Sus scrofa: one gene and its partners. The protein of the gene in region 6 interacts with the protein of the main gene of each other region in a pairwise test. Links are inferred from orthologs where the notes say so. Each region holds a gene or a part of one and is shown on either strand. Other genes may lie near its edges. The genes, in order: RORC, THRB, VDR, NR1I3, TNNT1, PSMC5 and RORA.

Region 1 (4,228 bases), on a different chromosome or scaffold from region 6:
ACTCCAAGCCTGCCCAAGGGGCTGAGCCCCCAAACAGACCAACATCCTGTTCTGTGCAGAGAAAGGTACACAGATGCGTGGGCCACCCATTTACCAAAAGGACACGGGGCTAATCAGAGGCTCAGAGGCACAGACACATGCCCTCAGACTCTCTCTCCGTACAAGAAGATCCCCACGAGTTTCCGTCCACTCTTCCCCACTCCCTACCCCTTTGTCAACCATCCTAGGAGGTGGAGAGTCCTTCTCTACCTCTGTCTCATAAGCTACAGCCCTTGGGAGAGTCTGGGAGCTACCCAGGAATGGAGGTGCTGGAGGTGCTCCGTGTGAAGTTCCAGGATGGGGTAAGAGTGGAGGATGGTGAGATGGGAGGGCAGGCGAGGAAAGGGACAGCTGCCTGCCCTCTCCACGCCAGGTGCCACGTGCACAAGGTTGGGGGGAGTGGGCTGCCGTCACGAGGCTGAGGCGTGGCTGGCTCCTGCTCTGCTGTTTACCAGCTGGGAGTGAGAGCAGGAGGAGGTGCCAGGGAGCCTCCCCACTGCAGCCTGGCCCCCGGCCAGCCGGCCTGTTGGGTAACCAGGAGAGCCAGGCCCAGCTAATCAAACTCTGGGCCGAGGCTGGGCAGGAGAATAGAAGCATCCAGGACTCACAGAAGCCTCATCCTGTGCCCCCTGCCCTGAAGAGCCCTGCTCAGTGATGGGGGATCGGGGTGCGGGGAGGTCTCCTTCCTGTACCTAGTGCAGTGTAGCACGTCTCCCATGGCTCCTGTGCCCCCAAAAACAACTCCAGGCCTGCCCCCGACCCCAAAAGACTGGGAGGATATGGAGGCATCAGGGAGCCAGGGAATTCTAGAGAAGGGCAGCAAATGGCAGAGGCTAAGCCGGCAGAGGCCTCAAGGAACCCAGAAACCACTGGGATGACTCTGACCTCATCCTGGAGAAGAGACCCCATCCCCCAGATAAACCATCCTATCTTCATCTCTCCCCTCCCCAACTCCCCTGATCTTATCACCTGTCTTGGTCAAGTAGAAAGCATATGATTCTAAAGTCAGCAAGACCTGTGTTCAATGCACAGCTCAGCCACTTATGGTCCTTATGCAAATGCTTGGGCAAGTCGGGACAATCTTTGACCATCACTTCACTTAGGAGCATCACCTAGTTATCTGGAGCAACTATGTTTGCCTCGTGGCGGATGCTGGGAGGATCGGAGAAAATCATAGATTTATACACAGCACACGTCCATCGATAAATGTGAGCACCCTTCCCGTCACCTACCCTGTTTCTCCCCAAGGCTTAAACTTTGTTCTTCCGGTGTCTCCTCTTGTCCCTTTCTGATGCCAAAACACTCTGCCAGCCACTCCTTTCCCCTGCCTGCTGCCGGGCCAGGTGCTCTGTCCCTCCCCCCTTCCCTCCCCTGGGCCCTGCTCCCTGCCCTCCTGGGCAGCCAGGGCAGCAAGGACGGCACCCAGGGAGTTGCCCCATGGACAGGGCCCCACAGAGACACCACCGAGCCTCGAGGGGTAAGAGGCCCTACGGCCCTGCAGGCAGGTGGCAGGGGCTGCCAGGAAGTTCAGGGGACAGGGAGAGGTGGGAAGAGACTGGTTGGGAAGTGAGGAGGTGGGGAGGAGCAAGAGGAGAGAGAAGGAGAGAGGGGTTGGCCGGCGAAGGCGGGACGGTGAGACAGGACAGGTCTCCATAGAAACGGAAGGAGAGACCGGAGGAGGAGAAACGCGAAGCGGGAGAAGCCGGAAGCACACGGAGGGGAAAGAAAGGGAGAAGCAAGGAGGGAAGGGACAGGTGGGATGGGGGAGGAGAGCCAAGTCGGGAAGCTGGAAGAAGGAAGCGCCGCACAGGGCCAGGCCCTGCCAAGTGTGAGCGCCCCCTGGGAGGAGGAGCGGGCACTGCTCCTTTGGCTGGGACCCGCTCTGGGCAGCAGTGGCTGGGAGGCTGGCCATCCACCTTCTGTTCATCCAGCAATGGAGGAAGCTGCCCTGCCTTTAAGGATGACAGAGGGTGGGGGAGAAAGCAATAGCACCCTGTCTGCTGCCCGTAACCCACGGGCCCAGCACTTTCCTCCCCGGTGTGGGGTTTCATTTCTGCAAAGAATGTGGGGCACCTGGCCAGGGGCAGCGGCGGACAGAGACTCGGGCGGACCTTGGCCCCACGGATGGTCTAACAGCCTCTCCCATGGCCACAAGCTCGGTCAGGTGTGAGCACTGAGGGGAAACGCTCCAGGGCCACCTGGCGGAGGAAGAACTCCACTGCCGGGGCCAAGAGGGGAGCGCTCCCACCCCAGGACTGCTCTGAGGTGCAAGGCTGGAGGCCAGAGAGACAGTGCCACGTCAGGGAGGAAGCTGGGTGGGGCCAGGCAGGATCAGCGGGGTGGGGGGAGGCGGGAGGGGCCGGATGGAGCCACTCCCTCCCTGGGCACCTCCCCCCACCCTACCCCAGCGGAGCCTGGGCCTTCAAGTCCAATCACCCCCACTCAGCCCAGTGGAGGAAGCTTGTTAGAGGGAGCATCTCTTGGGCAGAGGGACAGTGCGGGGTCGGGGGCAGAGGGGGGAGGTGTCAAGGATTGGACAAACGGAAGGAAAAAAATAACCGGAGAGCAGAGTCAGAAGTTAGAGAAACTTGGGGCATAAGGCAGGCCTGCAGCGTTTTCTGAAAGGAAAGACTAGCCCTGTGCTCTGTGAGGAGCTGCTGTATGGATGTGGGAAATGCACCAAGGTCTGGCCCTGGGGAGGCTTCTTCCCAGGGTCTTGGTAGGTGTTTAATAAAAGCTCACCATATGAATGAATGACACCGCCCCGCCCCCTGCAATGATACTCTAGCTAAGGCTTTCCCTCTGGCGGGCTATGCCTCCCTGCCCACCCCAGATCAACTCACCTAGCTCAGCACTGCCTGCTCTCCACCTGGACCAGCCACACACACCAACAGGAAGGGATTCCTTCCTCTGCAAGCTCATGGACCAGTGGAGCCAGAGCCTGTGGAAGGCCAAACGGAGTCCGTGCTTGAAGCTCTCCCTCTTCCTCTTAATAGCCTCACTAGCCTATTCTCCACCCCCACACCTCTGAAATTCCCAGGTGCCTTCAGGCACAAATAAGCAACCAAGAGATTTAACTCTGGCTGCAGAATACTGTGCACCTGTAATGGGGCGGGCACTACAGAATAACAATGTGAACGAGGCAGGCACAGTCCCTGCCTCCATGGGGCTTACTGTCTCACAGGAAAGCCCCGTTTCACAGGTAGTGACACAGCTATAGCGGTGAGATGATGTGGTGAGTGCCAGGAAATCAAATGCCTGATGCTGAGTAAATGCAAGGACAAGGGAGAAGGGCATGCTTACCTTCTCCAAGGAAAAGACATGATCGGGACGCTGGAGGATGAGAAGTTGGCTAGATGGACGAGGGGCCAGGGAGGGACATTCCGGGCAGGAGGAATAGTGTAGAGAAGCCCCAGAGTGGTGAGGAGCCTGCACTTTTGAGGACCTGGAAGAGTCCTTGGGTGACCATAGGGCCGAGAGTGAAGAGAGGGTGCAGTGGAGGGTGGTCCCACCTTCTCCTCAGATGCCGTTCTGCTGGGAAGGAATGAGGTGGGGTGGGGGCCTGGGCACTGGGGAGTCCACTATGGTCCTCGGCTTTTGACCCTGACCCCCCCCCCTTTTCTCCTTATAGAGCTGCTGGCTGCAAAGAAGACCCACACCTGTGAGTAGAGGATTGGGATAAGAGCTGGTGCTGGGGTCTGGGGAGAGGACAAAGAATTCAGCAAGGGCTCCAGCCAGCCCGTGCGGATGAATGGCTTGCGCCTTGCTAGGCGGAGATGGCTGAGATGAGGAAGGGAGAGGGAGGGCTGAAGAAACCTCAAGATCCAGGCAACAGAGGGAGACAGGAAGCCTGAAGAGTGCGGGGGAGGCGTTCCCGTTGTGGCACAGTGGTTAACGAATCCGACTAGGAACCATGAGGTTGCGGGTTCCATCCCTGGCCTTGCTCAGTGGGTTAAGGATCCGGCATTGCCGTGAGCTATGGTGTAGGTCGCAGATGTGGCTCGGATCTGGCTTTGCTGTGGCTCTGGCGTAGGGAAAAAAAAAAAAGAAGAGTGAGAGGGAACATCGCAAAGAATCAAGGAGAGAACAATGAAAGGGCGCCCAGGAGACGCAAGGGGGTGGGGCAGACCGCTGGGCCAGAGCAGGGGCAGATGGGGGAGGCAGGGTGACCTCAGGGGCTCAGGGAGCC
Region 2 (3,500 bases), on a different chromosome or scaffold from region 6:
TCCAGCATCTCATCCATTGCTCCCTTCACTGGGGAGCAAGTGACTCCCCCTTTGGGCTGTATTTCTTCATTTCTGTTCAGGCAGAGGAATGAATATCAAATTTTAAGAATTTCCTCAGAAGTTTCCATCAGGGCACAGTGGAAATGAATCTGACTAGGAACCATGAGGTCGTGGGTTCGATCCCTGGCCTCTCTCAGTGGGTTAAGGATCTGGCATTGCCATGAGCTGTGGTGTAGGTCGCCGATGCAGTTCGGATCCTGCGTTGCTGTGGCTGTGATGTAGGCTGGCACTGGTAGCTCTGATTGGACCCCTAGCGTGGGAACCTCCATATGCCATGGGTGCAGCCCTAAAAAAAAGAAAAAAATTTTCCTCAGAAAAATCCAGTGTTGGAGGTTCTACAAAATACTGTGATAACTTCAGTATTACTTCAAATGGAGCGTTACACAGAGCAATTTACCAATGATTTAGAGTCCATGAAAATAGAGCAGACATCACAGAAACGGGCATGAGGAAGAAGGCTTCTCCCATCTGCGGAAAAAGGATGAAATTCTCTGAGCCCAGAGTTAACCCTTGCATTCAATGGCTTCATGTTTAGCTCATGAAAACCTTGAACCCTCACGGATAAATGAGCACAATCTCCAAGATCGTAATCTGTTGTTTTCTTTTCATGGAAAATGACAATACGTGCCTCTAGTGGCACCAGTTGCTGGCACGGTCAGGTCCACACCTCTTTGATTCACCATTGGAACAGTGCCAAATACACTGAGGACAAAGAACCCATGTCTTTTTAACTCACCTCACATGCAACGCTCGGCACAGCCCTTTGCATAGAGTGAATGTTCAGGGCTCCTCTCAGATTAAGATCAAATGTTCCATCCAAAAGCATTGTATGATTTTTTAATTATTTATCTTTGGCCACGCCAGTGGCATGTGGAAGTTCCAGGTCTGGGAGTCGAACCAGGGCCAGAGCAGCAACCCGAGCCACAGTAGTGACAAGGCTGAATCTTTAACCCACTGAGCCACCAGGGAACTCCTGTATGATTTTTTTTTAAGGCGATCATTGCTTTCTGGCCAAGTTTGGGTGTTTCAAGCTGCAGTTTTGCATTTATTGAAACAGAGAAAACACTCATTGATTATTGCTATATATGTATAGTTGTTTACAGTCTTCTCCTGTACTAGAAAGAAACTGTATGGGTCTTGGGGTTTCTACACAGTAACCCCAAGACCAGGAAAGGCAGATGCAGCTTCCAAAAGGGGCTGAGAGCACATGACACCTTTAGAGAAACCACCCTAACCAACATCCCTAAAGATGCCTGGCAGCTTCCAGAGGGGGCTTATGAAAACCTAAAGCATGTTTAACCCTTGCATTAATTAATTTAAAATTTATTTTAAATGTTTGCAAAGCAGCTTTAAACTCCCAGTACTCTGCACAGAGCAGGATGGACTTGAATCTCCACTGTGGATATTTACAGTTCTTTGGCCATTTCAGCATACAAGAAAATTCACTTACGAAGTACATAGCGTTTTAATCACTGCCTAGAATCACTTTAAATGTAGAACTCTATTCATGCTATATTTTTTTCACTTTGACAGACAGTAGCCTAAAACTTTCTAAAACTATGGATGACCAGATGGATTATGTTTTTTACTCTAAATGCATCTATGTATTATACTATATATAGTATATATAATGTGTATTGTACTATATAGTATAATATATAGTATATATATATATATATATATAAGCTTGCTCCATTTTACTCTCTACTTTATATCCTCGTTCCATAAAGATATTCAAGGAGGTAAATTTACCACCAGGGAAGGTTAGTACGAGAAGATTTGCATTATATTTTTATAGTTTTTCCCATTTTCTAGAGAGCAGAGCTGAAAGTCCCTATAAGTTGAATAGAGAAAACAAGGTAACATGCATAAGTCATTGTGCATGATTGGATGTAGTTCTGTGTGCTGTACAGTAGGACTCCATTACTTATCCATTCTTTTTTTTTTTTTTAACTGTCAGTGCATCCACCAAAGAGACCTGGGGTTTTTCCGTTCCATCGTTAGAGCTATTAGTTCACCCCACCACCCACCACTCTCTGATCTATTTGGGATGACGTTGAAACCATCAACAGAATTTCTCACTTCTCGTGGAAGATCCAGCCCTCTGAGTTAGGTTGTCAGGAGAGGAAGGTGACAAGGAGAACAGAGTTGTCACTCTTGCCGCCACGTGGCATGTCCCACTTACGGAACAGAGTGCCTCTCAGGTCAGCCCGTGATAACACCCAAGTCAAACCAGGCCGAATCCTGGACGTTTTATGTCCTAAGGATCTGAAAAGTGTTCATGGCCAGCCCTGACCCTCGAGACCTCAAATGGTCATCTAAGCAGTAACATCAGTTGATGTAAACTTGCTCCCGGGCCATTGTCTCTGGGAGCGGGCCTGGTGAAAGTGCAGCCTCCCCATGGAGAAGCCGATGCCTTTTTAGGCACCGAACATCAGGGGGGAGGTATTGATCTCTCCAACAGGCCATCCAGCAACGGTGGCTCCGTGCCCCAGGCTGACACACTCTGCATCTTGTCCCTGCTGTCCGAGGAGGGGTACGTGCACGCTGTCAGCGCCCCCTCCCCAAATCGAGAAACAACCTGCTTGCCGCAACTCTTCGTCTCATCCCAGTCTTGATAATGCCAACAGCGTGTCATCTCGTGTTTTTCAACCCTCCAGAAAATGGCCTTCCAGCCTGGGACAAGCCGAAGCATTGTCCAGACGGCGAGCAGGACTGGAAGCTAGTGGGGATGTCTGACGCCTGCCTGCAGAGGAAGACCTACCCTGAGAGGCGCAGCACGTTGAAAAATGAACAGTCGTCACCGCACCTCATCCAGGCCACCTGGACCAGCTCGATTCTCCATCTGGACCACGACGATGTGAATGATCAGAGTGTCCCCGGTGCCCAGACCTTCCAAACGGAAGAGAAGAAATGTAAAGGTAACCAGGTCTTGTTATTAAGCTGTATCCAGTGTTGCAGCCAGGTAAATCACTTGCTCTTGGCAGTGTGTTCTGGGTCTCCACTCATTCCATGGATGCTGTCTCTGTGCTTTCCCGGGCTGCTCTTCCAAAGTTTCTTTATCCCCAGATCCTCTTTGAAATGTAAATAAATAGGCAGGTTCCAAAGGAAAGCAGTTCACTTCTTTTGCAAGTTGGATTGGTGCCCTTGGGGAGAAGACATTTTTTATTTCTCTAATTAGCCGGAGAGTTGTTCGTTGGGCTTTAATTCTGTATTCAAACCTGAGTAGAAACAGACATTGCTATCGTTACATAACTACTTGCTTTGAAGTGTGTGCATGTGTGTCTGTGTGTGTGTGTCCACGTGTGCACGCGCGTACATGACTTTTCCCAATTGTGCCAGTAGCTAATGGGATCTCAGAGTCTACGTTTAACCTACATAGACAATTCATGTTCAAAAGAGAGGTTTGAAGTTGTTTTCTTTTACTCATTAAGTCCTGT
Region 3 (3,500 bases), on a different chromosome or scaffold from region 6:
TCTGGGCCAGTGTCCCCAGCCGTGGGGAGGCAGCCTGTCTTACCACAGCTCCTTCCGGGGACAACGTTACCATAGGGATGAGAGGAAGGTGGGCACGGAGGGCTTAGGCATGTGCCCTTTGGGCAGCAGAGATGGATTTGTGACCTTCGTCACCCTGGTTTTGGTCATCCTTGGCAGTGAGTGTCCTGGACAGGCAGAGGGCCAAGGCCCCCTGGTGGCTCGCTGCCTGGGGACGGAACAGCGCAGACTGGCAGCAGGATGAGGTGGGGCTGTGGGTCAGTACGTGCCGTGGATGAGGCGGAAGAAGGAAGATCCCACCAGGCTCTGGACACGGGGGCCTGGAGTGGGGTGGAGGTACGGGTGTCTCTGTCCCTGAGGAAGGGGCTATTTCTCCTGCCTGCCTTTTCCCTCGGCATCACCAGCAGCCGCTTCTGGAGCAGCGGGGGCGTCCCCGGGTCCTCAGCCTCTGCCCTCTGCCCCCACTTGAGTTTCTCTGTCAAATAAACAGCAACTCCTCATAACGGAGGTCTCGTGGGAGTGGGAGCAGCCTGTGGCAGGAGAGAGGATGGGCCAGGCGGGGAGGGGAGGTGGCAGAGGAGGGGCTGAACTCCAGAGGGGGTGGGGAGGGCTGCTGGCCAGACGCCCACCCCAGGCCTGGGCGCAGGGCCCCAGAGAGGCAGCCCCGGCCGGGTGCCACCGCAGGCTGCCCTAGTCAGGAGATCTCGTTGCCAAACACCTCAAGCACAAGGGGTGTGAGCTTCATGCTGCACTCGGGCTGGAAGGAGAGGCAGCGGTACTGCTTGGAGTGCTCCTCGTTCAGGCTACGCAGGTCGGCCAGCTTCTGGATCATCTTGGCGTAGAGCAGGTGGCTGCCCGGGGGCGGGTGGCGGCAGCGGATGTAGGTCTGCAGCGTGTTGGACAGGCGGTCCTGGATGGCCTCGATCAGCGTGGGGTCCTGCACCCCGGGACGGTCTGTGGGCAGAGAGGGTGGGGTGGGGGTGGCACAGGAGATCTGAGCTGGGCCCCTCCCTGTTCGATCCACTCCCCTCATGCCTCAGCCCACATAGATGGACACCTAACCTCCGAATCCATCCATCACTCCTGATGGCTGCTGACCTGCGACACCAGAGTCCTCCCCAACATCTCAACCACTCTCTATTGCCTTTTTTTTTTTTTTTTTTAAATTTTTTTTGCTTTTTCAGGCCATGCCTGAAAGTTCCCAGGCTAGGGGTCAAATCAGAGCTGCAGCTGCTGGCCCGCACCACAGCCTCAGCAACACTGGTTCTACACCACAGCTCACGACAACGCTGGATCCTTAACCCACTGACCGAGGCCAAGGCTCACACCTGCATCCTCATGGACACTATGTCAGGTTCTTAACCCGCTGAGCCACAGTGGGAACTCCTAGGAACTGGCTGTACAATGGCGTGTGTTTGATGTCTCCTCCTACACTTGGTGGGAGAGGTCTGCGTCCTGTTTGCTGCTGAGTCTCTATGCCCAGCACAGTGCCTGGTACCTGACAGGAGCCCAGTAAATCACTGCCGAGGGAACAAATGAATGGATGAGTTGGGGAGGGCTCACTGGGCGGGAGGAGGGTGCCCAGGTCCTTCCCTCGGGCCCCAGCCCAGGAAAGCATCCCTGGATGGCAGCCACTAGTTTGTTCCCCAAACACAGTCCAGGGGGAGGCCTCACCAGTGTCTAGAGTCCCCGGGACCACAAGACCCTCCTCCTCAGCCTGTCTCCCTCTTTCCACCCCAAACAGGCAGAAGAGCTCAAGACTGACGGCATCCCGCCTCCAAAATCAGTCAGCTCAACTGTCCATCAGGCCAGATGTCCAGCCAGCAGAACATCTATTGGGCCCCAGGGTTTTGTGCCCTGACCTCAGGGGACCTCAAGGGTCAGGGAGGTCAGTCCAGTTCACACAGGCCTGTCTGTGGCCTGAGACACTCCATCTAGGAGTTCCCTTTGTGGTGCAGTGGAAATGAATCTGACGAGTAACCATGAGGTTGCGGGTTCGATCCCTGGTCTTGCTTAGGGGCTTAAGGATCCTGTGTTGCTGTGGCTGTGGTGTAGGCCGGCAGCTATAGCTCTGATTCGACCCCTAGCCTGGGAACCTCCATATGCTGAAGGTGTGGCCCTGAAAAGACAAAAGACACACACACACACACACATACACACACACACAGAAAAGAAAGAAAGAGAAAGAAAGAAAGAAAAAAAGAAACTCCATCTATCTGGCTCCTCAAAATCCCTCCCATGAACCAGCAATGGTTTCACTAGGGAAAGGCCAAGGCCAAGGGCAGTGAGGGAACCCTCAACATACACACACCACCCTGGCTGTGCAAACCCAGCAAAAGCCAGGTTTCCCTGTCGTTCTCTCCTTTTGCTCACTCCTCCCTCCAAACTTCCCGCTGGTCTTCAGTGGGGCTTCACCTGCACGCTCCCCACATCCCAGGTCCCACGTCCTCACTGCGAGTACCTGGGGAGACGATGCAGATGGCCATGAGCAGCACGTGCTCCTCCTCGTGCAGGTTCAGCTTCTTCAGCCCCACCTGGAACTTGATGAGGGGCTCGATCAGCTCCAGGCTGTGTCCGGCTGCGAGAGAGGATGGCCAGCTGCTGTGGGCACCCACAGGACGCCCCCCGCACCCCACATCCAGCCTGACATTGCTCCCTCGGATGTGCCTGGTGGGGCCCTGGACCCCAGGAGGGGTGGAGCTGGGGCAGGCGGAGGCAGAGCCCAGACGCACCTTTGGCCACGTCGCTGACTTGGTACTTGTAGTCCCGGCTGCCACAGGTCCAGGACATGTCGTCCATGGTGAAGGACTGGTTGGAGCGCAGCATGATGACCTCGATGGCACTTGACTTCAGCAGCACGATCTGGTCCTCAGCGGTGAGGTCCCTGCCAGGGAGGGGAGAGGTGGAGGTCAGGTTCCTTTACTGGGCAGCACCTTCTCTCTCTCTCTCTCCTTTTGGTTCTTTTTAGGGCTGCACCTGTGGCATATGGAAGTTCCCGGGCTAGGGGTCGGATGGGAGCTGCCGCTGCCAGCCCTCACCACTGCCACAGCAATGCCAGATCCTTAACCCACTGAGCGAGGCCAGGAATCGATCCTGCATCCTTATGGATTCTAGTCAGGTTCTTAACCCACTGAACCACAATGGGACGCCGAGACCTTCAAGTCATGTAAATTAGTGCAGTGTTTTGACAGGTATACACCTGCCAGGTGCCCAGCATGGGCCCAGCTCCTCCACTGAGGAGCTTGCAGCCTGGTTGGAAAGAAGAAGACTTGTTTCTTGAGGGAGAACAACTTGCGAACAACTCAAGACTGTGACCAAATGCCAGCTGGATCAGCTCAGCTACTCAGTGACTTTTTGGGGTGTCCCAGGTCTAAGCAGCCACAGCTCTTCTGGGGTTATGAAGAGAGAGCTTGAGGAAGCTCTCAGGGCCACGGCATGACTAAGGTGGTCTGCAAAACATGGTAGAGGAGTTCCCGTCGTGG
Region 4 (4,123 bases), on a different chromosome or scaffold from region 6:
AGGAGTCTGCCTCAGCTGGGGTTCTGGAGAAGTCCTGTCCTCTGATTGGTGCATGGCACGCAGCCCTCTCCCTTAGGTCACAGCCCAGCTGGTATCCTGTAAGTGCTTACCCTGAACTGCACAAACTGATCAAACATAGTGCCCATATGGCGGGTATGGGCCCCCAGGAGTATCTGGACTAACGCCTTCTGCTCCTTACTCAGCTGCAGTGATGCTTGCTGTGCCCGGCGCTGAACCTGTCTTGCTCGCCGCAATGCCAGGACTTCTGCTGATAGGATCACTGTGCCCGGGGAGAGATGTGACAAAGTTATTGAGACCAGCAGAGAGCACCTTTTTCTGTCAGCCCGTAGTCCAGGGCTCTCGGACGCTCTGCACAACGAAGGACACAGGGAGGGAGGAGAGTTCCTGAGGGCTCCTGAGGCCTGCTTGAAGTCCCAGAGCCTCCAGGTGGTAGGGAGCTCCTGTCCACTTTCCCCAACCTGTGAGGCACTGCAGCAGAAAACGGTGCACTGTGGGAGGGAAAGGAAGTGTAGAGAGTAAAGTGTAAGATGTTTGGCTTCTGGGGGAACACTGAAGTGGGAGGGCTCTTGATACCAAAAACATCACCTTATGTTTGCATAAGGTGCACCTTATAATTTCAGAGGTTCTGAGGTTAAATCTCACTGAATGAAACCAGCCTGCCTATGAGTAGAGAAGGCAGGTGTTATTATCCATATTTTTCAGAAATGTAAACAGGCTGACATTTCAGGGACAGGTCCAGAGTCACAGAATACTTATTGATATAGACTGAATTAAAGATGTTTTGACTGCCACGGTTTCCTTTCCACTGCTTCATATTGAAAAGTAATATAGGGAGTTCCCACTGTGACTCAGTGGGTTGCAAACCTGACTGGTAGCCCTGAGGATGCAGGTTCAATCCCTGGCCTCGCTCAGTGGGTTAAGGATCTGGCGTTGCTGTGGCTGTGGTGTAGGCCAGCAGCTGCAGCTCTAATTCAGTCCCAAGCCTGGGAACTTCCATATGCCTCAGGTGTGGCCACAAAAAGCAAAAAAAAAAAAAAAAAAAAAAAAAAGAAAAAAGAAAAAAAAATCAATATAAAAAAAAGAAAAGAAGAAAAATAATGTGATGTTGTGGAGAAAGCAAGGATCTGGTGAATCCTGACTACACCTTTTCAGCTGAGTGGACTTGGGCAAGTTGACTATGGTCACTTGAGTTGATTACAAGTTGCATTATCTTTTGGGGGCAGAGCGTAATTATCTGGCCCAGAGAGGAAACATTAAATAATTCAACAATTATCAAGAACCTACTAAGTGACAGGCACTTGAGAGACAGAAGAGAAAAAGCAAGCCTGATGAATATCTAGTGGAAGAGCACTCCGGGTAGAGGTGACAGTAAGTACAAGTGTAAGTTACAACAGGGCCAAGGAGCGTGTGCTTGGAGTGTCTGAGAGCAGCATTGAAGTCAGTGTAGCTGGGATGCACTGAGCAGGGCGAAGGGTAGGAAGTAAAGTCTGAGAGGTGATTTGGAGGAGCTAGACCATGAGATCATGGACCATAAGAGAGATGAGGAACCCTTGGAGGTTTTGAGCAGAATGGTGATATTGACTTATTTCAAAAAGCTTACTCTGCCCACTGTGTGGAGAAGACACTACAGGAACAAGGGCAAAGCATAGCCAGTGGAGAGACATAGAGGGTCCTTGAGATGGTAAGGGAACAACTCACTGTCTTTCTTCATGCCAGCATCTAGGCACTTCTGCAACCTGCAGGCTGGGCAGTGGCGCCTCTGGGCCTTATTGACCTTACAGCTTCCAGCAAAGGGGCAGATGAGACTGGTGCTTTTGTTGACTGTTCGCCTGTGAGGACAGAGATGTTGTGAGGGTCGGAGATGGCAGCGAGTAAGGTGGGTATGTGAAGGGCTGAAATGACATGGTCTAAAAGAATCGGTGGTGACATGGGCTAATCTGAGCTGTGCCCCAGGGTCCCTAGGAGTGGAGAGGATACGGTGCATCTCAAGCATTTCCACGGGGGGCACAGAGTCATTCAGGAAAGCCTGGCTGATGCTGTACTAGCTGGTGCTTTGTAGAGAGTAAGTACACATGACTAAGGGGTTGCATCCATAGAACCAGCACTTGGCCTTCCCTCTGTTATTTTGCTACCTTTATATACAGTGTTGCGGTTGGCAATGGGTAGCTTGCTAGCCCTAGGGTAGTTAGGCTCCAGGTTGCAGGAGCGAGGCAGCTGGACAAGTTCAGGCAGATGCCAGGGCATGACGGCTGCCTGGCAGGCAGTTTGGGAGGCTGTTTATGTTGGTGAGGAAGTTCTCACCTGAAGAAACCCTTGCAGCCCTCACAAGTCAAGGCATGGAAGTGATAGCCTGTGGCTCGGTCCCCGCACACAGCACAGTTCCTTGGCTCATCTTCCCCGCTGGCCATGGCTTCAGGTGTTGGGATGGTGGTCACAGGCCCCTGAAAGTGATAGGGGTTAGCAGTCAGCTCTGGGCCACCGTTGACCTTCTTCTCCTGCTTCTGCAGATCCTCTTCCCAAACCTGCTCTGGGCCTGACCCCCTGTGTTATCTGCACTTAATTGCTATTAGTCTCTGGGTCCCCAAAGATTTCCTACCTGTTCCTCTTAGGCAGCACGTCACCTGCAGGCCACAGAATCTGGTGCTGGATTCCTCTCCACGTACTCCCACTGTAACCCTGCTTTCCCTTTGATCTCAGGAGCTTCCAGTATTTAAAGTTAGGGATTATAGCCTTTAGTACCTGGAAAACAAGGAACTTCTACCTCTGTGGCCTTCAGCTGTTTTCAGTGAGTGCCTAGATAGGACTCAGACTCTGGACCCAGGGCAAAGGCTTGGGTGGGAGGTGTTCCCAGCATGCCCACAGTGCTGGAGGCTGGCACCTGGGGAGAGAACCTGATAAGCAGGGACCTCATGACTTATTAGAAGCTCTGCTTATCGAACCCTACTGCTGAGCTTCAGGCTAGGTCTGCAGCCTCCTCTGTGCATAGATTCTGGACAAGCTGGGAGGAGAGAGGGTGAGAGAGCTTTTTCACACAGAGTATGTCAACAGTAAAAGAATAGGCATAATAAGTGTACAGACCCCCCAAAGGAAAGTTCTTCAAAAGAGACTGTGGTCTAGGGAATTCCCATAGTGCCTAGCGGTAACAAACCTAACTAGTATCTTTGAGGATGTGGGTTCGACTCCTGGCCTTGCTCAGTGGGTTAAAGATCCTTCGTTGCCATGAGCTGAGGTGTAGGTCCCAGACTCGGCTCAGATCTGGCATTGCTATGGCTGTGGCTGTGGTGTAGGCCGGCAGCTGTAGCTCCTATTTGACCTCTAGCCTGGGAATCTCCATATGCCGCAGGTGTGGCCCTATAAAAACGAGAGAGGGAGACAGAGAGAGAGAGAGAGAGACTGGGATCTAATTAAGGTCTTATGTAAAGAGTTAGAAGAGTATAGCACAGGGAACTATATCTAATCACTTTCAATGGAACATGATGAAGGATAATGTGAAAAAAGAATGTATATAAATGTATAACTGGGTCACTTTGCTGTACAGCAGAAACTGACAGAACATTGTAAATCAACTATAATAAAAATTATTTTAAAAAATAAATAAAATTTGCAATCTCCCCTCCAAAATACTTTTTGTTTGTTTGTTTTGGCTTTTTAGGGCTGCACCTGTGGCATATGGAGGTTCCCAGGCTAGGGGTCCAATCGGAGATACGGCTGCCAGCGTATGCCACAGCCACAGCAACACCAGGCCTGAGCCACATCTTCGACCTACACCACAGCTCACAGCAATGCCAGATCCTTAACCCACTGAGTGAGGCCAGGGATGGAACACACAACCTCATGGTTCCTAGTTGGATTCATTTCTGCTGAGCCATGATGGGAACTCCCCAAAAATAAATTCTAAATGTTTGTAGAGAAAAATAGAAAAGAAAGCATTATTCATCCAGAAAAAAAAAAAAAAAGAGAGAGAGAGAGAGAGAGAAGAGGTTCCACTTTCTAATGAGGGAGGGTTGAGGATTAAATAAGAATGGACCTCTAGGAGTTCCTGTCGTGGCGCAGTGGTTAACGAATCCGACTAGGAACCATGAGGTTGCGGGTTCGGTCCCTG
Region 5 (4,133 bases), on a different chromosome or scaffold from region 6:
GCTGTCTCCTTGTCCCCTGGTGAGAGTTTTACCCTCTGATTCATTTGTAGGAAATGCTAGTGATTAATATCATTCATCTGTGACTTGGATTCTCCTCAATTACTGAGGATTCACCAACACTGGTCTCCAGCTCAGACTCTCTCCCAATCTCCAGACTCCAGGTAACGGATGGCTCCATGCCCCAGCTGAGCTCCCCAACCTGGAAATCTCTCCGTCTGTGGCCCCCTTTCCACCCCCTGCCCCCTGCCCAGGCTTAGGCCTTCTTCCCTGAAAACTCACCAAATTCTACAGTTCTCTGGCCATGCCACATGGCTTCACGCCCCCGGGCCTTTGCACATGCTGTGTGCTCAGCTTGCAATGGCCTTCGCCTGACATTCTCCGCACCTGAGGCCTTCCTGCCTCCAACGAGCTTTCCTGATGCTGCAGCCCAGCTGTGTCCTCACTCCCATCTGACTCTGCCTCCTCATCCCTCAAGCCGTGGTGAAACTCCACTGTCCACTGCATCTCATGCTCAGATTGCAACACCAATCTCTGGCCCCAAGGTCCCCACCTCCAGGTCTCCTCTCCCTCTCCCAAGGAGCTCTCACAGCCTGGCCTCCACCTGTCTGCAGAGCTTGGATCCTCAAAGACTGGCCGAGATCTGGCCGCTGGACCTTGCACCTTCTGCATTGCTTCCTCGACTACAATCTCTCCCACCTCCTTCAATTAGCAAACTCCCAGGACTCAGGGCAGCACCTCCCCCAGGAAGCCCTCCATGACTGCCACCGGGCATAGCTAGGGCCTCTTCTGTGCTACCATCTTTGTATCTGGGTCTGCTTCACCAGCAGGGCAGCCACACTCTGACTCATCAAATACCATGGGAAGTTCACCAGAAATGTTTGCTGAAGGACAGAATCACTGTCCTTTCGTAGGTGTCCCTCCCCCTCTCCTCTGTCTTTTTTTTTTTTTTTTTTTTTTTCTTTTTTGTCTTTTGCCTTTTCTAGGGCTGCTCCTGCGGCCTATGGAGGTTCCCAGGCTAGGGGTCCAATCGGAGCTGTAGCCACCGGCCTACACCACAGCCACAGCAACGCGGGGTCCGAGCCGTGTCTGCGACCTACACCACAGCTCACGGCAATGCCGGATCCTTAACCCACGGAGCAAGGCCAGGGATGGAACCTGCCACCTCATGGTTCCTAGTCGGATTCATTAACCACTGCGCCACGACGGGAACTCCTCCTCCCGTCTTTTTTTGCACCCTGTCTCTGAAGGCAGGGGCTAGATCTAAGAGACCCCACCCCCAGCCCTAGGATCTCACCTTGGCTTGGGGCGCTCCTCTTCTGTTGGGGGGGGGGATACAAAGACACAATTAGCAAGAGTTTGTGGGCGTGGGAGGACGCGACACACCCAAAGGTGGGCCCTCCTCGCCCCCCCAAGACTTGGTCCCCAGGCCCAGTTCCCTTGTCCTGCAGCCCTGGGGGAGGGGTATGGCGGGGGTAAAAGAGGAGAAGGGAAATCGGGGTGGCCGTAAAGGGAGGGAGGGGTCACACGCATCAGATATACATTCAGAACCGGTGTGGGGATTCCCCCCCTCCACTCGCTTCGCTGGGAAACCAGGCTTCCAAACCCCCCACCCTCCTTCTGCAGACCCAGAGCTCCTGCCCTCCTCCCCAAGCCCTCTGTTCACTCGGGGACCCTGGAGTTGTGTCCCCAGCCACCTCCCCCTTGGGGACACAGGAATCCAGACCCCCACTGCTACCCCCTTCTGCAACCCAGGCCCCAACCTTTGAATGTATATGGGGGAGAAAAATAACAGGCGAAGATGAGAGGGGAGGAGGGGTGCCTCTCCGCAAACATCCAACCCTTCTATAAGTATTCCTCCAGTCTGGGGAAGAAGGCTTGGGTGTCGGTCCCTTTAAGAAGGAAGGGAACGGGTTAAAGCCGCTGCGAGGCTATTTCCCTTCGTGGCCACCAGAGGGCGCGCGGGCTCTCCGGGGCTTAAAGGACCGGGTCCGGGGCGGGTTATGGGGGCGGGGAGGGAGTTCTCGTGGAGGTCAGGGCCCAGAGGACACCCCGCAATTGGTCTCAGGAAGCGAAGCAGCCGCGGTTACCTCGCTCTGCCACCGGCTCTGGCTCCTCGGGGGCTGGGGAGGGGGCAGGAGGAGAAGCGAGGGTTTGGGGAGCCAGGGGAGGGGAGCGGCCAGGCCCGGATGCAGGGGGGGAGAGAGGGGAGAGAGGGGAGAGGCTGTTAAAGGAACTGAGGCCGAGAACCCCGAAAGCCCCGCGCCCCGCCCGGCCTGCACCCCTGGACCAGCGGGCCCCCCACCCACCCGCCTGTCCCCCACCCCCCCAGACCTGCGTCCAGCTCCAGACCTGCGGAGTCCGGGGCCTCACCTTCCTCCTCCTCAGCAGCCTCCTCTTCTGGAAGGGGTCGGGGAGAGAGAAGAGGGGTTAGGGGCCCAGGGGGACCCGGGGTGGAAGGGCTTTCAGAGAGGGGACCCAGTGGGTGAGGGGGCAGAGACCCAGGTTCGGGCTCGAGTCTCAGCTGGGCGGGGCGGGGGGGGGGACCCGTCAGCCTCAGCGGCCGCCGGGCACGATGGGCTTTTCCCTCCCAGGAGGATGGGCGTCGGGCCGGTCGGGCGGGGTGGGCCGAAGTGCACTCACCTTCAGGCTGCTCCCTGAGGACCCGGGCGGGGAGAAAAGAGGGAGGGGGAGAGTTAGGCGCCTCGGAGGCGGAGGGGGTCTCCCCCGCTCCGAGCCCCCAGCCCTCCCGCCAGCATCACTCACTCCTCATATTCCTGCTCTTCGGCGTCAGACATCCTGGCGTGACCTAGAGAGGCAGAGAACGGGGGTCCAAACGAGGGACTCGGGATCCCCGACCTGGGGTCCCGACGCCCGGGTCTGAGGGACGAGGGGCTGGGGGCTGGATCCTGGGTCTGACGGGGGGGGGGGGGGCTGGGGCTGGACCCCTGGGTCTGGAGGAGGAGGGGCTGGGGCAGGACTCCAGGGTCTGAGGGAGGAGGGGCTGGGACCTGGACCCCTGGGTCCAAGGGAGGAGGAGCTGGGGGCTGGATCCTGGGTCTGAGGCCGGGGGCCTGGGGCTGGACCCCCGGGTCTGAGGGAGGAGGAGCTGGGGGCTGGACCCCTGGGTCTGAGGGAGAAGGGGCTGGGGCAGGACCCCTGGGTCTGAGGGAGAAGGGGCTGGGGCAGGACCCCTGGGTCTGAGGGAGAAGGGGCTGGGACAGGACCCCTGGGTCTGGGGGAGGAGGAGCTGGGGGCCCTCAACTCCCAAAGATTCCTAAACCGCGGATGAAGACAGGGCTTGGGAAGGTATGGCCCCACCAACCCCAAAGCCACAGGCCCCACCCCCTCACCACAGCTGCCCTCTTTTGTCTTATGACAAGTCCTTTGGAACCTGATCTGAGGAGGGATTAGGGGAAGGTATTTGGGGAAGACACAGTGGCCTGAAGACAATAGCTGCCCCACCCCCAAGGGCTATTTTGGGGGGATGTCGTGGAGGGTGACACAGAGGACATCTAAAAAGTATTCTAGGAGGAGGGGTTCTGGGAGAATTCATCATACCCACTCCCCTCTGCCACCCTTGTCCCCTCCCCTTTGGCTGGTTATCAGTCACCTTCACCCACAGCTGTGGAGGGGACAGGACACACAAGAGCAGCTTCTGTCCCCAGACCTCATCCTGACCCCTAAATACTAAGACTCCCCCAAATCTGAGGTCCCCAAATCTTAATACCCACAGATCCCAATTTAGGAATTCTGAAGATGGCTAAGTCCTCATATCTCCGGATTCTGACACCCCAACTGTTGATACTCCAGATTATGGGCCTGGCCACCCTAAAACCTTGACCCCCTCAGTCTTGAATCCTTAAATTTGGGAACCTTAAGCTTATGAGACCCCAAAACCTGGATGCCCAGACTCAGGGGCCCGATTCCTGATACCCCAAAATATGACTCCACAAATTCTAATACCTCCAATCATAAGATTTCAGATCCTGAGACCTCAATTCCTAAACCTCCAGATTCTGAGGCACTGCCCGCACCCTGGTCCTGACACCCAGACTGTCTGCCAGCCGAGCCCAGAGGTTCCCAATTTCTTTTCTTACTCCTTCTTGAATTATTATTTAATTTTATTGGAATAG
Region 6 (4,233 bases):
CTGCTTGTCCAGTCCACCAATCATCTCGTAAGTTGAATCTGGCACTTTCTCCACCATCATCAGTGACACCAGTGGATCTACCTTGTTGGGCAGGATCTTGTGCAAAGTGTAGCTATCATTTCTGAGAGCCACCCGGCAGTTGGGTGTCACCTGGGCGAGAGAAGAGAGTTTTAGGATGGGGCATGGTGAGAGCTGACCCCCCAACTCCCAACCTCACCTGCTGCACTCACATCATTGATGTCGATGTTCTTGTCCACGTCTACGACAAACTTGCCCTCGGGATGCACCTACAGAAACACAGGCTTGTGTGCTTCCCTGACAGCCATGAGCCTCACCCAGAGAGACCCCCGAGTCTCACAATAGCACGACAGGAGAACCTTCACGACACACGTAGGTATGGGAATGCCACGACCAAAGGGCTGCTCCCGGGGCTCATGCTGCCTTTACCTTAACCAACACTTTTTTCTTGTCCATGGCCCGGACTACTTCCCCCACATAGGAGCCCTGTTCTTGCAGTAGCTGTAGCTCCTCTCGCAACAGGCGAACTAGATGGGAAACAGACATAGTGGTCACCCAGATTCTTTGATGTCTCCCCCCACGACTTGATTCAGGATTCAGCATGCATGAACTAAGTGCCGTTTTGAAGTTTTGAAAGGAAGGTTTCAAAAAGAAAGTCAAAACAGGTCCTACTGCATAGCACAAGGAACTATGTTCAACACCCTGTAATAAACCGTAACAAAAAGAATGTGAAAAAGAACATATATGTGTGTAATTGCAACACTACCGCACAGCAGAAGTAACACTGTGAATCAACTAGAATAAGACTTTTTTTTTACAAGTCGAAATTCATATCTTTAAAGGAGGTTACAAGGGAGCTTGAGAGATGTGCACGTGAACAACTATGAGAAAGCGACAGGCACCCGTGTGAGGACCTCACACTGCCTGCGTGCAGCCTTCCCATCCTTCCCCCTCACCTTTTGCATTAAGCTCATTCCTCTGTGCTTGCAGCCTGCGGAGATTCTGGCTCTTGTCATTCACAATCAGCTGTGGAGGACAAGAGGCAAAGGGCAGACAGTGGTAGGAGGTTATGACCCTCACAGGCTGATGGGAGCAGAGTGAGGAAAGAGCACTGGGCACCCGCATGTTATTTCAGATTCTCTAATGTGATCCAAGAGTTCCTCAGGAGTGTAGGACAACCACAGGGAAAAAGCTTCTTGTCTAACACTGGTCCAGGAATAGCAAACCCTAATGGAGAAGAGGCAACAGCTGGCTTACACTGTGTCTTGCAGGGCAGTAACATGGTAGAGAGAGAAGATAACTTTGAGTCAGAAGCCTAAGTTCTAGCCCCACTGCTGGCTGTTAATAGCTGAGTAAAGCTAATGAAAACCACTTAAAAGGTCTAGATCTCTCACCAAACTGCAAGTGGTGCACCTACTGGCCTCTTTTCGGGGTTAATTTGAGGAACAAATGAAAGCAGCACAGGTAAAGCATTTCAAAAATGACCACCCAAATATGAAACCTGCAAATGTACCTGGAAGTGAGAATTTTTCCTTGTGGCTCTCCATCTAATTTGCAATATTTTCCTCATTTCTATGATCTGGCTCCCTCTTTAGGCTGTAATACTGGGTTGCTAGTTCCTTTTCATTTGGCCCCCTGGAACCAGCATTGTTCAGACTCCTCAATTTTGTCTTCCCTCACTCTCACTCTGCCCCAACCCCTCTCTAATAAATCCCATCTTCTGAACCTACATCTTCCCTTTTATAAGAAACTACCATTCAGGCTTCCTCTGAAAGGAATGATTTTTGGCCGGGGCTAACTTTTATGTGAAAATTTGACTCCTGAAAATATGTAACAAACTGTGAATATTAATGATCTTCAAAAGGGTGGGACTTGAGGAAGAAACTGTTAACTTGATATAATTCATACCCTTGGCTTCTTGCTTCTTCCACTGCGCCCCAGTGGAATCATACGGCTTTCTAGAAATCGGCTCCATCGATCCTTCACCGAAGCCCTTCCAGCTCCCTCAGGACCTCTTACCTGGAGTTCTTCAATCTTGGACAGATAATACTGGCGGAGTCCACTGCCTGCCTTCCCCTCTTCCAGCTCCATCTGAAGACAGTTTAATTATTAAACAACAGGTTAAACACCCAAGGGATAAAGCTACTTCCAGCTTGGACTTCAGAGACTAAGACTTGGGTTCTAATCCCTCACTCCATCTCTTCAAAACCCTTCGTGTCCCAGTGACAGAAGAGGGGAAACAGAAAGAGGGGAAAAAAAGTCCACCCCTTAAGACTTTCAGGAGGAGCAAGAGAGAACACACAAGGCAACGGCATACAAACCCGAAGGGTCATTACTACAGGAGGAGCCAGCAAGAAGGACGGGTTCCCTGACTCGGGCGACTCGCTCACTCATCCCGCTTCCACCGGGTCTTCCATTCCCGGCCCTGCCCTGACCCGCCGGGGGAGGCGCTGACACAGCAGATCCGTTCCCAGGCAGGGCCCGGTCCGGATTGGTCCATCCACACCTGATTGCCTCAACGCTCTTGCCCCAGACGGCTGCCCACCTCGGATCACACCTGCTCCGCATCCAGCCCTGATCCCCGTCTGGCCGCGGCAGCCGCCGCCATACCTGCTCAGGCCCGTCAAGCGCCATCTTCCCTCTTCCGCGGAGGCCCCCGGCATCAGAGCCGCTTTGGTGCGCAGGCGCGGAAGCGGGGCTTGGGGGACCGAACTCCCGGGCAGAGAACAGTTCCGGGTCAATGGGCGGGGTGTGCGCCCAAACAAAGCAAATAACAGGGGCCCTGAAGCGGCGGGGCCACGCGAGGTCAGGAGCTTTGGAAGGGGATAAAGAGGACGCAGAGCTCCTAAATGTTATTCCGAAGAAACTAGGTTTTGGTTAAAGTAATATTACTTCCGGGTGCAAACATCTAGTTTATAAACCTGGACACAGAGCTTAAAGAAAAATTTGTGGCCACGCTCAAAATGGCGGAAAACTTGGATCCGCGGACGCAGCCGACGCACACGGAAGCGGAAATACGTTTGCTGCTTACACGTGCCGCTGCTGGGGTAGTGAAAACGGAGCTGGGTGGTGTTAGGAGCGGAGTGCGGAGTGTCTTTGAGAAGACGAGTGGGGAGCGGAGAGCGTAATCTAGTATTCTGGGCGGAGACGTCCTGATTTCTGCTTTCTCTCCAGATTGAGTGGCACTCCCCAGTTCCACTATGGGCAAGAAGGGCAAAGTAGGGAAGAGCCGGCGGGACAAGTTCTATCACCTGGCGAAAGAGACCGGTGAGTCATGGTTTACGCAGTCTGAGAGCAAGAGAGCCACCGATCTTTGCCTGTTCGCCTCCTTCCCGAACATTGGGTTTCTCTTCCACAGAAGAGGTGGTGGGTTGTGAGGCCACCGTAATCCCGCTGGGAAAGCGCTTTCGCGGACTTTATTCTTTTTTCATTGTTTCTAGGTTACCGTTCCCGCTCTGCTTTCAAGTTGATCCAGCTGAATCGCCGCTTTCAATTTCTGCAGAAAGCCCGAGCCTTGCTAGACCTGTGCGCTGCACCAGGTGGATGGTGCGTAATATCTGGCACCTGTTGCTTCTTGTGGCAGCTTTCTGCATTCCCGCCATGGATGACTGAGTTTAACTGTGGGCAGGAGAGATACAGGACTAACAATCTGAAATTTTTCTACTTCCGAAACAAATTTCAGGGAAAAATATTTGGAAGTTATGTATGAGATATGTTTGGCCACTGCAGTCGGCAGGGGCTCCTAATACTGGGGATGAGAGCCAGAGACGGCGGGAAAGGGACAAGCCAGGGTAATTATTTCAGTGTTTACTTCTTTTTTATAGGCTGCAGGTGGCTGCCAAGTTTATGCCTGTCTCCAGCCTTATTGTGGGTGAGTGACAGTTCTTTTAAGCGTTTCGGGGATGGCGAGTGTGACATGCTGTGTTCGGCATTCCCTTCCTCCTGTTTAAGGCAACCTTTGGGAACACTCCACCCTGATTTCTTCCAGGTGTGGACTTGGTTCCAATCAAGCCTCTTCCCAATGTGGTGACTCTCCAGGAGGATATCACAACAGAACGTTGTAGGCAGGTAATGGAGATTTCTCTTTTCTCTCTCTCTTTTTTTTTTTTTTTTTTTTTTGGCTGCATCTGCGGCATATGGAAGTTCTCAGGCCAGGGATCAGATCCAAGCCTACCCTGATCCTCTGAAGGCATGCTTTTCCTGTTTACCATGCCT
Region 7 (3,500 bases), on a different chromosome or scaffold from region 6:
ATTCTCCCAGCAGGGATCTTCCAGTGTCTGCCCTTTCCAAAATTCTGATATTCTTTTCACTTGGGGCTAAACAAGTATACCAAAAATCATCCTTAAAGAGGGGTCCAAGGGTTTCACACAGACCTGAGGCATGGCCCAGGAGTGGGGTGGGGGAGACTCAGAGATGTAACTCAGAGAACTGCAAACACTTCATCCAGTCAGTTAAACTTTTTCAAGGAGGCCCCAGATTTGGTTGTTCGATCAGAAAGAAACTCATGCCACTGTACGGATTAGTGAAATTAATGCAAGATGAGGTTTGACTGCTTGTGACTCATTGTACCTCCATGAGTCTCTGCATCCCTGTGCACTGATCTGAACACCGTGAAGAGACAGAGGAGGTGGTCTAGGCCAGCTGCCTAGGTAGAGGGGGAATGAGCCCATTAAGTCTCATTTCAGTGGCTCCCACTGAGCGCAGGGTCATGTGACAGCACCAAGACCCTGGTCATTGCTCTGGGTTTCGTCTATCAGCCTTGGGTCTGTTTCTGAAATAGCCTCTCTGGGCTGTGTCTTTGCTGTTTGGGATGTGGCATGAGCCTGTGTGGGGCAGGACTGTTTTCACCCCTGGACCGTGTCCTTGTTTTGCGGCCCTTTGGTTTTGGATTGAGAGTGTCTGAGATTTCAAAGGAACTCCTAAAGCATGGCAGAGAGGAGAATGGAGAAAAGCGTATTGTATATGGTGTGGTGTGGCTTTTTTCTTCCAGCTGTAAAGTTTGGCCGCATGTCGAAAAAGCAGAGAGACAGCTTGTATGCAGAAGTACAGAAACACCGAATGCAGCAGCAGCAGCGCGACCACCAACAGCAGCCTGGAGAGGCTGAGCCGCTGACTCCCACCTACAACATCTCGGCCAATGGGCTGACGGAACTTCACGATGACCTCAGCAACTACATTGACGGCCACACCCCTGAGGGCAGCAAGGCAGACTCTGCCGTCAGCAGCTTCTACCTGGACATACAGCCTTCCCCGGACCAGTCAGGTCTTGATATCAATGGAATCAAACCAGAACCAATATGTGACTACACACCAGCATCAGGCTTCTTTCCCTACTGCTCTTTCACCAATGGAGAGACTTCCCCAACTGTGTCCATGGCAGAATTAGGTAACGGCTTCCATGTTTCCATTGGGATATATTCCTTGTGCCCATCAGAGTAAATGGGATATGTTTGACTTTCCGCTAAGGAGTTATGTTATTAAAATAATGCATCTAGGAGTTCCTGTCGTGGTGCAGCAGAAATGAATCTGACTAGGAACCATGAGGTTGCAGGTTTGATCCCTGGCCTTGCTCAGTGGGTTAAGGATCTGGTGTTGCCGTGAGTTGTGGTGTAGGTCGCAGACATGGCTTGGATCCATCGTTGCTGTGGCTGTGGTGTAGGCCAGTAGCTGTAGCTCTGATTCAACCCCTAGCCTGGAAACCTCCATATGCAGTGGGTGTGGCCCTAAAAAGCAAAAAATAAAATAAAATGAAATAGAAAAGTATCTAAAAAAATAAATAAATACCATAAAATGATGCATCTAGCAGGACAATTCAGCTTTACCTTTTGGACCACTTCGTAATTCCAGCCTGGCCCCTTGCTCTTTGCCTGTCCGCTGTTTCCCATTGTATATCCAAGAAGTTCATTGACCTCTCAGCGTCAAAGCTGGGACAAGATGAACTTAAAGCCATCTTTAAATTCCACCAAAAAATGTCTAAGCTCAGGGAATGGCCCCATTAACTTCACCTCTTTAAGTTATATTCTAGGTATTGCTTTATATACCAAAAGTCATGGAATGGCAACCCACAGACTCAAGCTGGTCCAAAGACATATTTCTCTGAGCTTTACAATTTTTGAACTGGTTGCTAAAGTACAGAGCTTTACAATTTTTAAATTGGTTGCTAAAGTTTTAAACCTGGACGCCTCCACCAGAAAGTTCAGATGTTCCGTTTCTTGTGGGAGGAAAGAAGAATGATCTGGTTACACTGGAGCAGTATTTGTGAATGGCAGCAACCAGCTGGTACCAGTTAGGTCCTAACCTTTTAAATGAACCCATCCCGCTGTCCCCATTTAGATCACTCCTCAGGCCCTGTTAGCATCTACGTTTTTCAACTCTGATGTGTTCCCTAAACTTTCAAGGAAAGTTGGCTTATTTGCCAAAATGTTTTCGTGATGTATATTAATGATGAAACAGATGTATGTCATGGAAGATCCACCTTGCCCCCCAAAACAAAACAAAACAAAACCCAACAACCCTGTCATTTCCTTATTCCTGTGACATTGGTGCTTCTCTGGAGATGTGACCTAGAAATGTTAACACAGACAATGGAAAACTTTTCATTTCAAGGAAGTTGTGTTAACATCCTCTGTTATATTTAATCGATTTTTAAGTGCAGCACTATTATTAGAGAAACTTTGATAAGGACCTTGGCTGTTTGAGAATTTGATCTGCTCCTCCCCATGATTCCTCATACAAGGTTATACTCCTTTGGGATATTTCAATTAGTTGCTGTGAAGATGACTAAGTTAAGACGAGGAGAGAATGGAGACTTCAGATGGAAAAGAACCAGCAGGTTCTGACTTGAGCACAGACACTCTTAGTTCACAGAGAGAACAGTTGTGTTCTTTAGATGGTTTCTCCACCTCTGTACCCCATAAAACATTTTTAAGTGAAATTTATATTTCCAGTAAAATCTTTCTCCAAATAGAACAAATTGAATGTTCTTTACGGTTTTTACACAAGCACCTCTTTATGGGTCTAAATTTAAATCCTCAAGAGCAGGGACATTTTAAGCCTGGTCTTTAACCACTGAACAGCATTAAAGGTGTATCACAGCTCTTTTGATTAACAGAGAAACCTCTGAACTAGAAGCCAAGCTGAGCAGAGGTGGGTTTGATTTTTTTTTTTTTTTTTTCTTGAACTAGAACAAAAACCTTCCGTTTTGGTCGTGAAATCTTGGTTGGCTAAGCCTTAAGCAGGGCTGTAATGAAAGTAAAATTTTCAGAAATGAATAAGGATATGATTGAAAGTTGACAGGCACTTGTGAAAAATGACCTGGCTCACTTTAGGCTTGCTTCTACTTTATCATAACTACTAGTGAATCTGCCTGTTTGCTTGTCATATGTTCAACCCAAAATAAACCCACACTGCTTGACCTAAGTGTGGCCCTTGAACATGGCACTTGGGCTGAATGTGTGCTGATTCCTGAGTGGAGCCAGAAATGGCTCAGCTTCTCCTTTCCCAGCAAACCTGTCAACTCCTGGAGGGTGTGGGGCCCTGTGCCCACATCTATTCTACATGTTCTCTTCAATTAGGGATTTTTCACATGTATTATGGCATTTTCCAGGATGAATAAAATTAACTGTTACTAAGATTTGTCCCAAACCCAAAACTAAAGAAGAATTTATCTGAAAAGGATGTAACAGGACTCTAATTTTCTGTCCCTTTTGCACGTGGAGGATAGTTTGAGGAGCTAAGAGTAGCATCAAAG

Evidence for each region.
Region 1: the proteins of PSMC5 (region 6) and RORC interact in binary tests that used the Homo sapiens proteins (3 or more experiments, as listed by UniProt). The link is inferred for Sus scrofa from reciprocal best matches to the Homo sapiens genes PSMC5 and RORC.
Region 2: the proteins of PSMC5 (region 6) and THRB interact in a two-hybrid assay, tested with the Homo sapiens proteins (3 studies listed by BioGRID). The link is inferred for Sus scrofa from reciprocal best matches to the Homo sapiens genes PSMC5 and THRB.
Region 3: the proteins of PSMC5 (region 6) and VDR interact in a two-hybrid assay, tested with the Homo sapiens proteins (2 studies listed by BioGRID). The link is inferred for Sus scrofa from reciprocal best matches to the Homo sapiens genes PSMC5 and VDR.
Region 4: the proteins of PSMC5 (region 6) and NR1I3 interact in a two-hybrid assay, tested with the Homo sapiens proteins (2 studies listed by BioGRID). The link is inferred for Sus scrofa from reciprocal best matches to the Homo sapiens genes PSMC5 and NR1I3.
Region 5: the proteins of PSMC5 (region 6) and TNNT1 interact in a two-hybrid assay, tested with the Homo sapiens proteins (2 studies listed by BioGRID and IntAct). The two-hybrid records come from large-scale screens. The link is inferred for Sus scrofa from reciprocal best matches to the Homo sapiens genes PSMC5 and TNNT1.
Region 7: the proteins of PSMC5 (region 6) and RORA interact in a two-hybrid assay, tested with the Homo sapiens proteins (3 studies listed by BioGRID and IntAct). The link is inferred for Sus scrofa from reciprocal best matches to the Homo sapiens genes PSMC5 and RORA.

What each region holds. Positions count from the first base shown.
Region 1 is NC_010446.5:97,373,673-97,377,900, forward strand, and holds the start of RORC (nuclear receptor ROR-gamma), read left to right. Parts: upstream 1-1,428; 5' UTR 1,429-1,476; coding exon 1,477-1,540; intron 1,541-2,882; exon of another isoform or gene 2,883-3,670; coding exon 3,671-3,700; intron 3,701-4,228. UniProt on the Homo sapiens protein: Nuclear receptor that binds DNA as a monomer to ROR response elements (RORE) containing a single core motif half-site 5'-AGGTCA-3' preceded by a short A-T-rich sequence.
Region 2 is NC_010455.5:10,994,418-10,997,917, reverse strand, and holds part of THRB (thyroid hormone receptor beta), read left to right. Parts: intron 1-2,720; coding exon 2,721-2,981; intron 2,982-3,500.
Region 3 is NC_010447.5:78,207,478-78,210,977, forward strand, and holds part of VDR (vitamin D3 receptor), read right to left. Parts: intron 2,903-3,500; coding exon 2,751-2,902; coding exon of another isoform or gene 2,597-2,750; coding exon 2,480-2,596; intron 973-2,479; coding exon 713-972; 3' UTR 1-712.
Region 4 is NC_010446.5:89,225,412-89,229,534, reverse strand, and holds the start of NR1I3 (nuclear receptor subfamily 1 group I member 3), read right to left. Parts: upstream 2,801-4,123; 5' UTR 2,618-2,800; intron 2,463-2,617; 5' UTR 2,430-2,462; coding exon 2,323-2,429; intron 1,851-2,322; coding exon 1,720-1,850; intron 281-1,719; coding exon 111-280; intron 1-110. UniProt on the Homo sapiens protein: Binds and transactivates the retinoic acid response elements that control expression of the retinoic acid receptor beta 2 and alcohol dehydrogenase 3 genes.
Region 5 is NC_010448.4:59,360,811-59,364,943, forward strand, and holds the start of TNNT1 (troponin T, slow skeletal muscle), read right to left. Parts: upstream 2,801-4,133; 5' UTR 2,796-2,800; coding exon 2,764-2,795; intron 2,655-2,763; coding exon 2,641-2,654; intron 2,398-2,640; coding exon 2,371-2,397; coding exon of another isoform or gene 2,326-2,370; exon of another isoform or gene 2,121-2,325; coding exon 2,088-2,120; exon of another isoform or gene 1,531-2,087; coding exon of another isoform or gene 1,317-1,530; coding exon 1,295-1,316; intron 1-1,294. UniProt on the Homo sapiens protein: Troponin T is the tropomyosin-binding subunit of troponin, the thin filament regulatory complex which confers calcium-sensitivity to striated muscle actomyosin ATPase activity.
Region 6 is NC_010454.4:15,103,527-15,107,759, forward strand, and holds the start of PSMC5 (26S protease regulatory subunit 8), read right to left. Parts: upstream 2,801-4,233; 5' UTR 2,653-2,800; coding exon 2,629-2,652; exon of another isoform or gene 2,352-2,628; coding exon of another isoform or gene 2,340-2,351; exon of another isoform or gene 2,116-2,339; intron 2,110-2,115; coding exon 2,038-2,109; intron 1,246-2,037; exon of another isoform or gene 1,144-1,245; coding exon of another isoform or gene 1,045-1,143; coding exon 975-1,044; intron 546-974; coding exon 448-545; intron 288-447; coding exon 231-287; intron 151-230; coding exon 1-150. Other genes in the region: pre-rRNA processing protein FTSJ3, read left to right, coding at 3,219-3,285, 3,459-3,564, 3,843-3,889, 4,007-4,086.
Region 7 is NC_010443.5:111,457,004-111,460,503, forward strand, and holds part of RORA (nuclear receptor ROR-alpha), read left to right. Parts: intron 1-740; coding exon 741-1,136; intron 1,137-3,500. UniProt on the Homo sapiens protein: Nuclear receptor that binds DNA as a monomer to ROR response elements (RORE) containing a single core motif half-site 5'-AGGTCA-3' preceded by a short A-T-rich sequence.